Linked DNA regions of Oreochromis niloticus. The protein of the gene in region 1 purifies or fractionates together with the protein of each later gene. This does not show direct contact. Links are inferred from orthologs where the notes say so. Each region holds a gene or a part of one and is shown on either strand. Other genes may lie near its edges.

Region 1 (8,036 bases):
ACATCTGTCCTGAGCTTCTGAAACAACATGTCTGATCTTTTGGCTCCACCTAGTGGCGGCTCATCCCTACTTCCAAAAGCACTAGCACAATATAAATAAAGACAGAATGATCTGTAAATCTTACAAATCCATATTTTATTGACAATTCAAATTTTACTATTTAGAAAAAAAAATCAATTCATTTTCAGCTCAAACAAAAATGTTAGGCAAGAGCAGGAATAGGTTGGAAAAGTAAGTGGCACTACAAACAAACGGCTGAGGGAACATTTTACTGCCATTTATGTTAAATAACAACAGGTCAGTAACATGGTTGGGTATAAAAGAAGGATCTTAGAGAGGCGGGGGTTTTTTGGAAGTACAGACTGGCAGAGTTTCACTCTTCTGCAAAAAAAAAAGAAAAAGAATGTCAACAAATTATGGAAAAACTTCAGAATAATTCTCTCCAACGAAAAACACTTTGAATATCTCTTAAAGTGCATTATATCATCAAAAGATTCTGATGTGCAGAAATCTGTGTGCAAGGGACAAGGTCAACACTGGGTGATTTTGGGGCTCTCACGTGGCATTAAAAACATGCATGATTCTGTCACTGAAATCACAGATCACCACGCCATCCATAAATACAGGATGAAACTCTTCTGAAATGTTATCATGGAATATTTCACCAATACTTACCAAAGCTTTAATGGACAACATCAAAACAGAGAAGAGACAGGTGTTGAGAGATCTTCCAGTATGTCCTTTGACCACAAAAGATGGTGCACTACATGCCAGCATCACCATCAAAACCTGGCTCCTGAGAATCACCTCCAGTATCAGTGATGCAGTCAACTTTCATGGCTTTCTTACATGAAAAACTCTTGAAATGACAATTTCAACCAATGAAACTAACTGTTAATAATTTATTTCCTCACCTGGAAAAAAAATTGTTTGAGTGCACAAATGTTCTAAGGTAATATACAGTGATGTGAAGAAGTTTTTAGTTTTTGTGTATTTGTCACACTTGTTTCTGATCATCAAATAAATTGTAATATTAGACAAAGATAAAACGCAGTAAATGCAAACTGCAGTTTTGAAATGATGATTTCAGTTATTAAGGAAAAAACATATCCAAGCCTGTGTGAAAAAGTAATTACCACCTAAACAGAATAACTGGTTGTGCCACCCTTGGCAGCGAGAACTGCAATCAGACATTTGTGATAACTGGCAATGAGTCTTTCACAAAGCTGTAGAGGAATTTTGGCCCACTCTTTTTTCCAGAATTGTTCTACTTCAGCCACATTGAAGGGTTTTCTGTTTAAGGTCATAAAACTGTTCCGAGTTTGATTGGGCCTCTCCAAACCCTTTTTTTCAGAGGTGAAGCTGCTGGTGTGTTTCAGATCATTGTGCTGCTACATGACCTGAGTGTGCTTGAGCTTCAAGGCACAAGCTAGTGGCTAGCTATTTTCCTTCAGGATTTTGTGGCAGAGAGCAGAATTCATGGTTGGTCATGGTCATGAATTGTCCAGGTCATCCAACAGCAAAGCAGTCTCACACCAATTACTTGTTGACCACAGGGCTGGGTACATTTGGATGGCTTTTTGTATTTTCTGAATGAATAAAATCATTTAAAAACTGAATATTGTGTTTACATTTTTATTTTTATTAAACCTTTATTTATACAGGTAGACCCATTAAGACTCAATGTGTCATTTAGAAGCGAGACCTGTTCCAGACAAACATATTAAACTTACAACAATAACAGAAACAATAAAATAGCTAAACTTGTCTAATGTACACAGTCATATCAAAGGCAGACAAGTTCCCAGTGATGATTTCACAAAAACATTTATACGTCTTTTAAAGTCTGCAAGTGAAATCAGTTGAGAGAGCTTCAAATCCTTCTGTAATGTTTTCCATGAACACGGGGCAGAAAAGAAGAATACCTTCTTTCCAAGCTCTGTGTGAACTGATAGAACAGTGAATGTAATGACGTCCTGAGACCACAGTCTATGAATAAACTGTTTGCATAACATGTACTCTGATAAATAACAGGGCAATAAACCAGAAACAGACTTATAGATAAAGTGATACCAATGAACCGTCCTGCGTAAGGCCAATGGGGATCAGTCAACAAGAGAATATAAAGTACAGTGGCGTGTTAAAGGTTTACAGCCAATTATAATTTTTAATGCCACATGATAGACAGAATCCAACAGATGAAGAGAGTGAGCACGGGCATTCGTGTAAATTGTATCACCGTAATCCAGGAGGGGTAAAAAAAGTGCCAGCAACAAGTCTTTTCCTTGCTGTGAAAGACAAACATGATGTGTTTCTGAAAAAGAACCCCAACTTCAGCCTCAGCTTCTTTATTAGGTGGTCAATGTGTGGCTTAAAGGAAAGATTTTTATCAGACACAATACCTAGATATTTGTATGAGGCCATAGTTCCAATGGAAATGCCTTGAGCAGATACAAGAAAAGAAAGTACTGCCATCACCCTCCTTCTGTTTGAGACTTCTGTTTGACTTTGCTTTTTTCTGCATTTAAAACCAGTCTGAGCTGACTCAACTGTGACTGAATACTATCAAGAACTAGCTGTAATTGTTTGAAAACCATGTCGATGGTACGAGAACAATAATAAAGAACTCATCTGCATAAAAATGCATAGATTCTTTTATTGCGTGCAAGGCTTCATAGACGTCACTGAAAACTTTTTGGGAAGCAGTTACAGTACTTTGCAGTTTCCTAAGACCAGACTGGAAAGGAGATAAAATTCTGTTTTCATTCAGATAACTTTTAAGCTTTTTATTTACTAGCCTTTTAAGAATCTTAGCTAAGATACAGAGTTTGGAAATTGGCTTGTAATTATTAACCGTTGAAGAATCCCCGCTTTTCAGTAGGGGGAGTACAAAGGCATGCATCCACATCTCTGGTAAAGTGTTCTGTTGTTTAGAAAGATTCAAAATATAAGACACTGGCTCAGCTATGATATTTGCAGCTAGAAGCAAGAAGAAAGGAGACAGATTGTCAAGACCGGCGTTTTTGGTGTCAAGGCATTTCAAAGCCTTACATCCCTCTTCTACCATAAAGAGTGTAAAGGGAAAAGTATTAGTAAACAATGAACTACAAGCAGAGTTATATATGTATGTGCTAAACAGAACAAGAGGCAACAAAGTGTTCATAACAACAATTGAGAGTTTTGGTTTTGTCTGACACAGGAGTGGAGTTGATAATTAGGTGAGGAGGTAGCTCTGTGGCAGAGAGAGACTTTATAGTTTGCCAAAACCTCACCTCCTAGGGTAATTTAGACTGTCAGTGGTTAAAGTCAAAAAGTAGCCACAGTTGGCCTTTTTGATGGAAGCAGTAAACCATAAACGCAGTAAACGCAACTGATGAAAACATAGCCAATCACCATCAGAATCTGACTTTCTCACAGCTGCCCAGGCTTGGTTTCTCTCATGTTGGAGACCAGCCACTTCAGAATTGAACCAGGGGCTCCCCCGACCTTTAACTCTGACCTGGCAAAAGGGAGCATGTTTGTCCACAAAGCAGATAAAACTCTCCTGGAAATATTTCCGAGCTAAATCAACATTGTCAATCAATGTAATATGACACCAGTTAAAACTGAATAAGTTGTGAAGAAACAAATTTCTTTTTGTGATGTTGCGGGGCTTGGAGTGTGAGATTTTTGCGTTTCCCACAGCACCAGCTATGCCTGCTTAATGGGGTTGGAACCATCAGTCATCTGTCAGTGCGCCCCAGGGTGGCTGTGGCTACAATGTAGCTTGCCATCACCAGTGTGTGAATGTGTGTGTGAATGGGTGGATGACTGGATATGTAAAGCGCTTTGGGGTCCTTAGGGACTGTTAAGGCGCTATATAAATACAGGCCATTTACCATTTACCATGTTGTGCAGAAGTCAGATTGGCACACAGGTGACAACCCTATTCCATATTATGACAAGAACCAATCACCTAAGTAAAGAGAAATGACAGTCAATCATTACTTTCAGAACTGAAGTACAGTCAGTCTGGAAAAGAGAGTTCCAGTAGCAGACAAATCTGTGCTAATCAGGCCTTTATGGTCAAATAGCTGCTAAGAAACCACTACTAAGGAAAAGCAACAAACAGAAGAGATTTGTTTGGAGCTAGGAAAAACAAGCAATGGGCATTAGACCAGTAGAAATTTGTGCTTTTTTCTGATGAGCGCAAATTTGAGATGCTTCCATCTTTGTGCGACGCAGAAAAGGTGAACGGATGGTCTCTATAAGCATGGAGGAGGAGGTGTGATAGTGTGGGGGTGCTTTGCTGGCGACTCTATATAAAACTTTATAACATAAAAAAGTTTTAAAGAGACTGAAGGGAAGTTTTCCCCCCTTTTTTCTCCTTTTGTTATATTCCTCCCTAAGCGCCTGTCCCACACTCCAGCCCAGTTGACGGCGGTAATGGACTTTAGTACCGCTTACCAACCCCTTATTAAACACAAAAGAAGAAGAAGCGGAAGCGGAAGAAGCAACTTGGCGTGTTGTTGCTAACTTATCAGCACCTCATGCTATTGTAATTGAAGCTCCTCAAACATTTAAAATGAATAAGCTGGGTCAAGCACAAGACTTTGAGTCATATGAGATCGAAGAGCCGAGCGACGAAGAGCGGGCCGCCAGCAGGTGCGAGGATAATACGTGTGTTTATTTTTAGGGGCCGATTAGGCTAAAGTGGAGATAGCTAGCTGGGAGCTAACATGTAAACAAACTGGAATAGCAGGGAGACTGCGCTGAGCCGCTCTTTGCGGTGAATTTATTTTAACGTGACATGGATGTTACTGCTTAATTATCATTAATTATGATTATGATGCTCAGGATTTTCTATGAGTCTGTTGTGGCCAGTGCAATCCTCTATGCTGTTGCATGCTGGGGGAGCAGGCTGAGGGTCGCAGATGCCAACAGACTCGATAAACTGATTCGTAAGGCCAGTATTGTTGTGGGGATGGAGCTGGACTCCCTCAAGGTGGTGTCGGAGAGGCGGATGTTGTCCAAGATAAAGACAATGTTGGATAACACCTCCCACCCACTCCATGACATGCTGGTCAGTCACAGGAGCACGTTCAGTGGGGGACTGAGATTACCGAAAAGCACCACTGAACGACACAGGAAATCATTCCTGCCTGTGGCCATCTCCCTGTACAACTCCTCCACTTAACACACTGTTTACTGCAACAGCTACACCCTTCTTGCACATGTTCTTTTCAGCTATTCTTAGTTGGTGTATTGTCTGTCTTTGTTAGTGTTTGTTTATAATGGAGCACTGTAACGAAAAATAATTTCCCCTAGGGATCAATAAAGTATTCTGATTCTGATTATAGAAAGGCGGCAGATTTTTATAAGTCTAAATGTTACAGGCAAGCGGATGAGAAGAAAATAAAAACACGAGTGCAGATACTTATTATTGCCGTAATTAGCCAAGAATTTTCTGGATTTATTATTATGGCACTTAATTAGAGAAAATTAAGCAAGACGTCATAATTATTAATATTTATAAGTGATGTCCTGAGACGTCTTGATGTGTCCAATCAGAAGTCCAAAACTTCAAAAGAACTTGTCTACCTGAAGATATGAAATTTCATTATTAAAGCAGCAAATATGTATGTACCGATGGATTTAGTGAGTACAGGCAACTTATTTTGGTTTTGAGCTAAGCTTAAAGCGACAGTTTCGACGTGGATTAATGGTTTCCAAAATTAAGTGCTTAATTATTTGGTCTGTTAAACACTATACGATGCCACCACATGATATAATGTCACATGTGCAGAATAACACATGAATGGTTACTTCAATTTAGTAATCTCCTGGGTTTGAGAGTCTGTTTTTTTTTCTGAAATCTTTCTCTCTGTTTTAGTTCGGAGGATGAGTTGGACGTGCTCCTGAACGGGACTCCGGACCAGAAAAAGAAGCTGATCAGAGAGTATCTAACCGGGGAGAGCGAGTCATCCAGCGAGGATGATTTTGAAAAAGAGATGGAGGCAGAGCTCAGCTCCACCATCAAGACCATGCAGGGAACCTGGGTACCAGCAGCAGGTAACACTCAGCTGCTAGTATTTGTATTTTCATAGTGATATGTCTGGAATTACTTTGCTATCAACTGATTAGATGGCAGTAGAGCTGGGCGATATAAGATTTTTTTCATATCACGATATGTTTTTTTCATTTCAGGCGATAACGATATATTTCACGATATAAGCCAAATAACTATATTTGTAAGATTTAAATGTGCCGTTGCTCACAAGTAAAATGTGAAATAATTAGCAGCTTGTTTTAATTAAAATATTTATTTCCCATAATAAGTTTAACAGGGCAGATGTACTTAAGGAACATGAGACTTCAGTTTCAGATAAATAAAGGCAAATATTGCAAACTACACAAAACGCAGCCGCTAAAGCATTTAAGTTTCAAAATAGAACAAACAAAACAGACTACTAAATTGTCAATTCCACTTAGAAACAAAATATTAATTCTAAAAATAAATCTTAGGTTGTTTTACAGAAGAACAGACAAAATTGACTAACTTTTGTCAATATCAAATAAACTGAGAACTAAAAGAAAATTCTCAATCTCTCCTTGTTGTATAGCTTAGCTTTTCAAACAGTTTTAACAGTTACTTTAGTCTGACAAAAGCCGAATGACGAATTAGCGCTTTCAGTCAGAGATTGAGCATGCACCGCTTTATTGTATTTCCAGACTTGCTTTCGGCACAATTTACAGTGCGCGCTACTCTGTTTTTTGTCAGACTTGAAATAGCCGAAATACCTTCACACTACGGAACTTCTGTGGCCCTTCCGTTCGACAAGCTCTCCGGCATTGGAACCATCATCTGTTTTTTCTTTGGTAACCTTCGCTCACGCTCTCGGTTGATTTTTCTCTAGTCGGCAAACTCATTTCCTTCATTACCTGGGCTGCACGGCTGCAAAAACAAATACACATGTGCGCCTTGGCGCTTGTGCTGTACGTAACAAGTCACGTGACGTGACGCTGCGGCTGTGATTGGTTCGGCTCTGCGCTACTTAATTTGGATTGGCTGTTGTTTTTTTGTTTTTTTTAAGAGGACAAGAGAGATGAGGCCTATCGCAATAGTTTAATTTTTCTATCGAGAAAAAGTTATTTCGCAATACATATCGTTATCGTTTTATCGCCCAGCTCTAGATGGCAGCTATAGCCAAAAGCTGTGTGTTAAGCTTAATCTTAGCTAATTCTAGTCATTGAATGAGCTGACAGTGTTTGTGATGTTGTTGTTTGGAGCATTTTTAATGAAAATATGTTAAAATAATCACCTGTGTGTCTGTGAAGGTTCTCAGTAATCCAGGTCATCGTAGTCTAAGGAGCTTGGAAAGAAAAGCATCTGGTCTTCTTTAAGTTGCTTGAAGACTTTTCACTTCTCATCCAAGAAGCTTCTTCAGTTCTAGTGAAGTTCCTAGTTTTTCACTTTTACAATTTTATACTGTAATGCACTCGGGAATGACATCACTCCTGAGTTCCGACATCTAAGGTATCTGGAACACAGTATAAGCTCAACAATACAACAAACAAAACAAGTACTAGGAAGAGTAGTGTGTTGACATAGGAAGAAGCCAAGTTTAATCCCACGGTTAACTAACTAACTTATCTTGCTGTGTGAGACAGACCGTCTCTGTAAATACAGTTTGTGCTTACGAGTTGTGTATTTGTTCTCTGGTAGAGACCTCAAAAAGACCAGGAGGAGGAGAAGAAGAAGGGGGAGGAGGTGCTGGTGGTGGTCCTGGACTTTCTAACCCACAGATGTATGATGAGGTTTATTTTGACTCTGACTCAGAGGAAGACGGCACACCGAGTAAGAGAACTGGTTTTCCTGCTGTGGTTACCAACAGTCATTAAGATGTCATTAGATGACAGAGTACATGTACAGCCTACCACTAACAGTTTTTGAAATTTCTTCTGTAGGCAGCTCCACAAGCCAGAGGCGGAGACAGCGGGTCATTCCGACCAATGACGAGCTGCTGTACGACCCCGACCAGGATGACAGAGACCAG
Region 2 (7,680 bases), on another chromosome or scaffold:
AAAAAGTCACCAAGCATCTAAAAATTTAACAAGATTTAAAAAATAAATAAACAACACTAAATCAATATAAATTTAAAATTAAAATACTATTAGAGATAGAAATAGAATTCACAAATGGGATACACATTCTTAAAATTATAGGCGTGCAGTATACAGCGTTACTACACATGAGTAATTGCGCAGTAAGCAGTAGTGCCAGTGAGATTATTTAACCTGGCTTGCACATTGCATTTCAGTAAAGTGTCAGATCATTTCTGAAATAATACTGTCCAAACTTGAAGATGACAATGAGACTAACACTTGACCAAACACTTGGTTGATAATAAAGACTGTTCTTTAATGGAAAACAAGCAGATTAGTTGGTGTGCTGGATGGCTGTGATCCTTGATAATGCCGTGGGCCTTATGCAGGTACAGCTGGAGGTAGATGCCCTTAATGGCTGGAGGGCTCTTGCCAGTCATTTATTATGGAATAAGCCTTTTTCTTTAAGCTCTGACAGCTGACCGATGAGAAAGTCTTTACAGACAACCATTTTAAGTAATAAGTAAAGTTAACATTCCTGTTTTTTTTATTTAAAATGAAAAATATTTTGACATACAGCCCTTGTGTTGTGAATCGCATTTCAACGTATCAGTAGGGAGGTCTGAAATGAAACCAAAGCTTGCCTGGGGATCAGTTTATAACTCCATAGTATGCTGTGGGAGGCAGTGAATTATTTGGGCTGAAACATACAGTGCTTCCAGTACTGTCAACTCTGCCATGTCATGTGGAAAACTCACCCTGTTTTCACTTGTGTCTGGATTCAGCCACTTAGGAAGGTAATCTGCTGCTTCAATCAGGAGAAACTCCCCATCATTATCCTCAACTCTGCACATATAAACAATTATTTTGGAAACAAAGACATAAATGACTGGTGAGCATTTCAATAGTGTTTATTTATTTATTGATACCTTTGTTTTATTATTTTGTGCAAACTCTGCTCTGAGTTTATAAATATTTAGAAACTATGAGCAGGATCACTATTACCTTGCTGCAAGCTCAGGGAAAGCCTCTGTGATTTGCAGCAGGAGATAAACGATAAACCACTCGTCCTCAACATTGTCTCCAAACTGAGTGCTTCCACCAATGTGAGCAGGAATGCCACCTGTGAATGAGATCCATACACACCAGCCATTAGTGTGTGTACCAAGTGTTAACCACGTAAAGACAAACAATGTGCATATCTAAACTGCTTCCTTTCTGGGGTGCTGAAAAGGTTCTACCTTTCTCAGGGTGATACTTGAGGTTGAATGGCTGATGCTGCCAGATGTACTGTATCAGAAGAGGGGCAACCTTTGCCAAAATCTCCTCTACTAGATGTGTCAGACGTTCCTCAGTCTTCTGTGAAGAAGAGCTGCTTGGCTGGATCAAGAAGAGCTTGTACTGGACCATGTCCTCCTCAATCATTCTCCTCTGCAGAGCCTCCATAGTAGCAGTTTTAAAAGACCTAACAAAAAGATACGACGCTAAAGCGATGTGCAAAGACATATGAAAGGTCGTCAATGTCTGTTTTTATATTATGACTTTGAGGGAATCGTTGGCTTCTAGATAAACTCAACGTATTACTAGTGATTGTCACGACAACCTCTTGAAAACTTAATTTGGCCTTACCTTGTCTTGTCTTCCTTTTAAATTGGCTATGTTGTGTTAGTATATTCTGTAGCGGCTCTTATTACGGTTATTCATAAATACGTTCTTTCACGCCATCTGTAACTATTTAGGTCCTACGATGAATTCCAGTCGTCCTCGCCAAACAGATAATAAACAAAGTTCCTACCTTCTGTTTTTGTTTTTACCGATTCAAAAAATACTTTACATTGTGATAAACGCACATTACATAATAAGTCTAATTTTCCACTAAATTTGATAAATATACACCTTGCATTTAGTTAAAATTACAGGACCGGCGAATACATTTTATAAACGCAACATGCTATTGCAATGAATGCTGGGAATTGAAGTATGCAGCCTTTGACTTTCAAGAAACATTTAGTTGGCCTGAAATACATTTCCCACGATCCCTCGGGGCAACGAAGCTGCGTATCCATGACAGCCGCTGTATTTTTGTTGTTGGTGGTGATGCTAGCTTTAGCAAAGAATATCCTATGCGCTGGCGATAGCTCCAATAACGTTAAACACTCATTAAAAAATATATATATTCCTTTATATATATATATATATATATAGGGAGAGAGAGAGAGAGAGAGAGAAACGTAAATTATAGTGAACTTCTGGGCTACATAATATGCTCATTTAGTAAACCAAGAATTATTTTATGAGGGAATGTGGAAATTGTACGATGCTATTTGTGCCTTTTTCTTTTTTTCTAAAAATAATTTGGCCACCCTTGTACCAGTAGCTAGCTTATTTTTTTGGACGTAGCTTAGCTGCAGCCGTTAAGGAACAGCCTCTCTATCCAGAATATCTGCGGGCTAATATTAGAGGAAATGTCAGAGCTCCATCTGAACCGTTCCCTGAGCGTCCTGGAAGTGGAGGCGAGGAGGAGAGGAGAGGGTTTGAGCATATAATACGGAGGCAAAGGAGAATGATTTCACGATACAACCGGAGACCTGTATCGCACAAACTCGAGATGTGAGTAGCTGACATCATTTCTTTCTTTTTTTCCTTCCCTAACGGTTATTGAATGCTGCTATTATTCATTGGAGGGGGATTTGATGATTGACTGCTAACCTACACTAGTGACAGAAAGAGTAAAAATGATTATTTGTGTTGATCGATGTGGTGTTATTCCAGCTTGCCCGGGGTCTGTTTTAGACAGATGCAGTGTGAACATGGCAATCAGCTCATTTTAGATGATTGTCACATTTTTATTTCATACCACCCACTCTATTTATTTTCTCTCCAGAGAAAGTTGTCAAGCCATAAGAATGAAATGTAGACATTTATTTAACGAGATTAACTCAATTAGAGATACAAAACCAACACTATGGGAAGATACTATGGAATCAAGTGTAATCACAGTGTAATGTTTAAAAAACACATAATCTCCAGCTGTTTTCACTGGTGTCTGTTTTCTTCATGTCATCTTGTCATATTACAGTGCAGCGAAAAAAATAGACAAATATATGAGTAAATATTAAACAAAAATATTTCAACTAAACGCGAAATGCAGTTTTTAAATGATTTCATTTATTTGGGGGGGAAAAACCTATCCAAACCTACCTGCTCCTGTGTGAAAAAGTCTTTACCCTCCCTTGTTATGCCATAAATTAACCACATTGTTTGGAAAGCTGTGTTCAATTTCACTAGACACACCCAGGCTTGATTACTGCCAGACCTGTTGAATTAAGAAATAATTTAAGTAAGTGGGTGAAAAGATCTCAAAGGATCTCAAAAAGCAACACACTGAGCTACAATCTACATAAACTCAAAAACAGCTGAGAAACAAATTCACTGAATTTTTTTATTCTGGAAATGGTGACAAAGCCATTACTAAGGCTTTTGGAAAACTGCAGGCCTCGTATGTCTCAGTTAATATCAGTGTTCATCATTCAACAACAACAACAAAAAAAAGAAACTGGGCAAAAATGGCATCCACGGGAGAGGTCAATGGCAAAAACCACTGCTGACCAGAAAGAAACGAAGGCTCGTCTCGTTTGCCAGAAAACATCTTGGTGATCCCTTCATGAAGACTTGTGGGAAAAAAATCTTTGGACTGATGAGACAAAAGTTGAACGTTGTACAAGGTTTATGTCCTGTTTTATCTGGTGTAAAACTAACTCAGCATTTCATAAAAAAAACTGCCAGCAACATTCAAACATAGTGGTGGTAGTGTGATGGTCTGGGGCTGCTTTGCTTCTCAGGACCTAGATGAAGCATAATTGATGGAAATATGAATTCTGCTCACTACCAGAAATCCTGCAGAAGATTGTCTGGCTATCAGTACGTGCACTGAAGCTCAAGCACAGTTGGGTTATGCAGCAGAACTATAATTCGAAACACACCAGCAAATGCATTCTGAATGGAGGTGACAAATTAAGGTTTTACAGTGCCCTAGTCAAAGTCTGAACTTAAATCTGATTGAGATGCTTTGGCATGACCTTTCATGCTCAAAAAACCACCAGTGTGGCTGAGTTATGACAATTCTACACAGATGAGTGGGCCAAAATTCTTCCCTAGTGAATTTTAAGCATTGCCTGTTATCGCAAACACAAACTCTAAATTGCAGTTCTTGCTGCCAGGGGTGGCACAGCCAGTTATTAGGTTTAGGGGCAATTATTTTCTTCACCCACTCACCCATCCATCCATTTAAAAACTGCATTTTGTATTTACCAGAGTTATTTTTGTATAATCTTAACATTTGACTGGTGATCTGAATCAGCTATCAGGAAGGGTGGCAAATAGTTTTCACAGCACTGTGTATGTGCCATAAGTTCATCAGTGACTATAATAGGGACTCTACATCTGATTTCTTTAGATCCATCGTAATCTGCTCTGACCTTATCATTCCCTTTTATAAAGGCTGTGTTTCTCTGACAGTTGCTCATTGCAAAAATAATTTTAATAAGACTCATGGTGATGGAGCTTTTGCACACCTTAGTCGCACCCATAGTTTTTTCTATTCTATTTCAACACAGTGTTCAGATTCAGACAGGGTAGTTGGAGTTGACATATTAATATCCTTCCCTAGCATCCCAAAATGCAATTGCACACTCTTTTGTTGATTGCTTTTTCACTGAATGCTCTAAATCTGTCTTTATTGCAGTCGTGGGTTGTCTCGAAGCAGCCTTGACCACCATCCTCTCCCAGAAGAAGCAGACGACAACCAAACCCCTCCGAGCTACCTCCATGACCTGCAGGAAGCTGCTTCTGCACACAACAGGTAACAGCTTGTTACAGTATTGTATTGAAATCTGTGTGAGAACAAAGACAGTGGTACTTAAGAAACTCTGTGCTCAAATAAGTGCCTAGAGTATGTTACAAAATGACTGCAGAGCAGTCAAGCCTTGCTTCTTGGCTGTTATGTAAGCAGACAAACCTAAGCAACACCAGAATAAGGCTGAAATAAAACAGCCTGCAACCAGTCACACATACACACATTCTCATGCTTGTGTATTTTGTAATGTTACACCATCTTGAGCAGACAACTGATTCTCAGGGCTCTTGCTATGTGACACCCAGAAGCAGCGGATTAATTCATATCACATTGCCTCCTTCAGATGCGCAGTTAAAAGAATAAAATATGAGGCAGCCTGTTAGAATATTCAATTGCCTTGACATTTGGCCTTCACTTTCCACCTTGATAATATCAGCAGCTGACACCAGTTCGATTCCCTCAGCGGAGTAACAGAGACTCGGCTTATTCTTCAGATTACACAAGTTGTTGGTTCTTCCATTTCTTCTAGTACAAGAAAAACTGATGAAAAGAGAAATCGTGTGCTGAAAAGAAAGAACGAGTGCTAGAAATACAAGACACTTCATATATGGGAATTTGGTTCTTCACGTTGTTTTTACAGCCAGGGTACATAACTGTTTTGTCTTTGTGCTTAGCTCAGAGACATCTGCTGCCTCAGGCCACTCTCAGTGCCCCACTGTCATCTCAGTAGACTCCAGCCAGTCCTGGTTAGGTATTCACAGCTCCACGGGTACTGGCATCTCCACCGAGAGGAGCTCTGTTTTCTCCTGGGGCTACGATGTAAGTCTGCTCATGAGAAAACTATTGATGCCAGCCTGACTCTGTCTGTAAAACAAAGGATGTACACACTGTGCACACTAAAACACTAGATATGTTGTTTTTCATTTTTTTTCTGTTGTCTTATTATAGACACAAACACATTGCTGCAGTCCTATGTTAGATTTTCATTTAGTTGCTAACATTTGCCTCTTTTTCACAAATTTGTGGAAACATTTAGAAGAAGACAGATGAACACAATATTTATATAGTATAGTGGATGCTTTGTTTGTACACACAAACTCTGATTCTGCTTTCTGGTTTGTTGTTATGTCGTGCTTTCTCGACCCTGCTGTTTCTACAAAACTTTTTCGGACTCAATGATTTATTTAGTTTTTTTGTTCTCAAGTTGCTTCTGAGAAGCAAACCCTCTCAGTTAAGAGACATTCTCTTAAATATACATCTTTCTCCGCTTTGATCTTTTTTTTAATGACATGAACAACTTGACCACAAACACTTGAATGCACCTCAAGAGACTAGGAGCTAATTATCATGCACGTTGATGCTTGCATTGAATAGTGATATGTTGCCAGTAAGTAAAAGGCGGCACCTTTAGTCGTGAAGAATAACTCTCTTTCCTATGTTCCTGTTTCCATCCCATAGGAGTTTGACAAGGCAGCATCACGGCAGGTGCAGCAAATGTTTGAGGAGATCGACAAAGATCTTTATGAGGGAAGAGGCAGTGGGGGAGGGATACTCCAGGGGCTCCAGGATGAATGTCAGCAGTGGGCCACACGTTTCCCTCATCTTCGGTATCTAATTCGCTGTCTCCTATCAGCAGCCAGCCCTTTTTAAATTCTCAACGAAATGGGGCAGCAGTGGGATCAAAGACTAATTCTGATTGTGGAGAAAAACCTGTTAAAGTGTTCCATTCTTCTACAGAATCACACTTGTTTTACATATTCATTGTGTGTGTCACTCAGTATCCTGGGGACTCAGCTGCTGTGTCCCAGTGATGAAGGCTTCCAGTGGTATACTACCTCAGGGAAAGGCAGCGCTTCCAGCAGGCCGTCAGCGGGCAAAGAAAGCGGTGTGAAACCCCAGGAGAAAGATAGGGAAGGAACAGAGTAAGTCTCAAAGTCCCAATCTGCACTGAGTCGATACATAAGGTTAGAGATCACTTGTTGCATCTCTCTCAGATATACGAAGATATCTCTGCGTGTGTGAGTGGTATCTCACCATCTGATCTAACGTTATCTTGGAGGGTGCAGTTTCGATAGCATCTTAGGCTGTTATGTTTGATTTGTGTCCACATAATTATGGCTGATATGTTATCGCTTTTATCATTCTTGGCTGAAGAAGATTTCAGGAATGTCAAACATTACTGAGAACAGCCTGTCACTGCCGCTTAAAATGGACATTGCATTTTGCTTAATCAGTCAGTCTTCAGCTTTTACTCTGAAACAGCAGAGACAAGAATTATCAGCCATTACTGTCAATAAACTCTGTTAACACTAACTATGAAACAGTTTACAGCAGTTATGTATGCTCAAAGCCCAAAAGAGCCATATCTTGCTTTATTATTTAAAGAAAAACTGCAATGCCTCTGTCTGTCTGTCTTGAGTAGATGTTGGCTGTCCAGATTACTCCTTTTTTTGCATCAATTATAGAAGAGTCCTGGCTGACTCTGGTTTTGTGACCTAGATCCTCTGGCTTTTTAATTAATAATCTGAGCCAAAGTCATGATTGGTATCATGGTTCTGAGAAAATGATGCTTTGACTCACACTTTTAATGATAGACTAGTAGGAATTAGGCTGCGCTGCTATCTAACTAGTTTTTCTGTAAGTTGATATAATAGAGATTAAATTAAGCCTGTTTGTACATATTAAAATTATGTTAGTTCTACTTTTCAACGTGTGTTTGTCTGCTGAATTTGAGGGATTTCGTTTTTATGGAAATTACCTTGTTTAACTAAGTCTCATGTTCTCTTGGTGGGGGTAAGGTTGAA

What was found.
Region 2: the proteins of eapp (region 1) and ecd purify together in Homo sapiens (affinity purification with mass spectrometry; 3 studies listed by BioGRID and IntAct, counting the BioPlex papers as one, with this or other methods). This does not show direct contact. The link is inferred for Oreochromis niloticus from reciprocal best matches to the Homo sapiens genes EAPP and ECD.

The regions. Positions count from the first base shown.
Region 1 is NC_031983.2:4,398,568-4,406,603, forward strand, and holds the start of eapp (E2F-associated phosphoprotein), read left to right. Parts: upstream 1-4,453; 5' UTR 4,454-4,564; coding exon 4,565-4,644; intron 4,645-5,872; coding exon 5,873-6,051; intron 6,052-7,705; coding exon 7,706-7,837; intron 7,838-7,947; coding exon 7,948-8,036. UniProt on the Homo sapiens protein: May play an important role in the fine-tuning of both major E2F1 activities, the regulation of the cell-cycle and the induction of apoptosis. Promotes S-phase entry, and inhibits p14(ARP) expression.
Region 2 is NC_031978.2:12,751,668-12,759,347, reverse strand, and holds the start of ecd (protein ecdysoneless homolog), read right to left. Parts: upstream 3,307-7,680; 5' UTR 3,223-3,306; intron 2,632-3,222; coding exon of another isoform or gene 2,585-2,631; exon of another isoform or gene 2,079-2,584; intron 1,973-2,078; exon of another isoform or gene 1,651-1,972; intron 1,506-1,650; exon of another isoform or gene 1,487-1,505; 5' UTR 1,468-1,486; coding exon 1,263-1,467; intron 1,145-1,262; coding exon 1,027-1,144; intron 868-1,026; coding exon 780-867; intron 1-779. Other genes in the region: protein FAM149B1, read left to right, coding at 2,585-2,631, 4,766-4,882, 5,551-5,695, 6,335-6,483, 6,655-6,798, 7,675-7,680. UniProt on the Homo sapiens protein: Regulator of p53/TP53 stability and function. Inhibits MDM2-mediated degradation of p53/TP53 possibly by cooperating in part with TXNIP. May be involved transcriptional regulation. In vitro has intrinsic transactivation activity enhanced by EP300.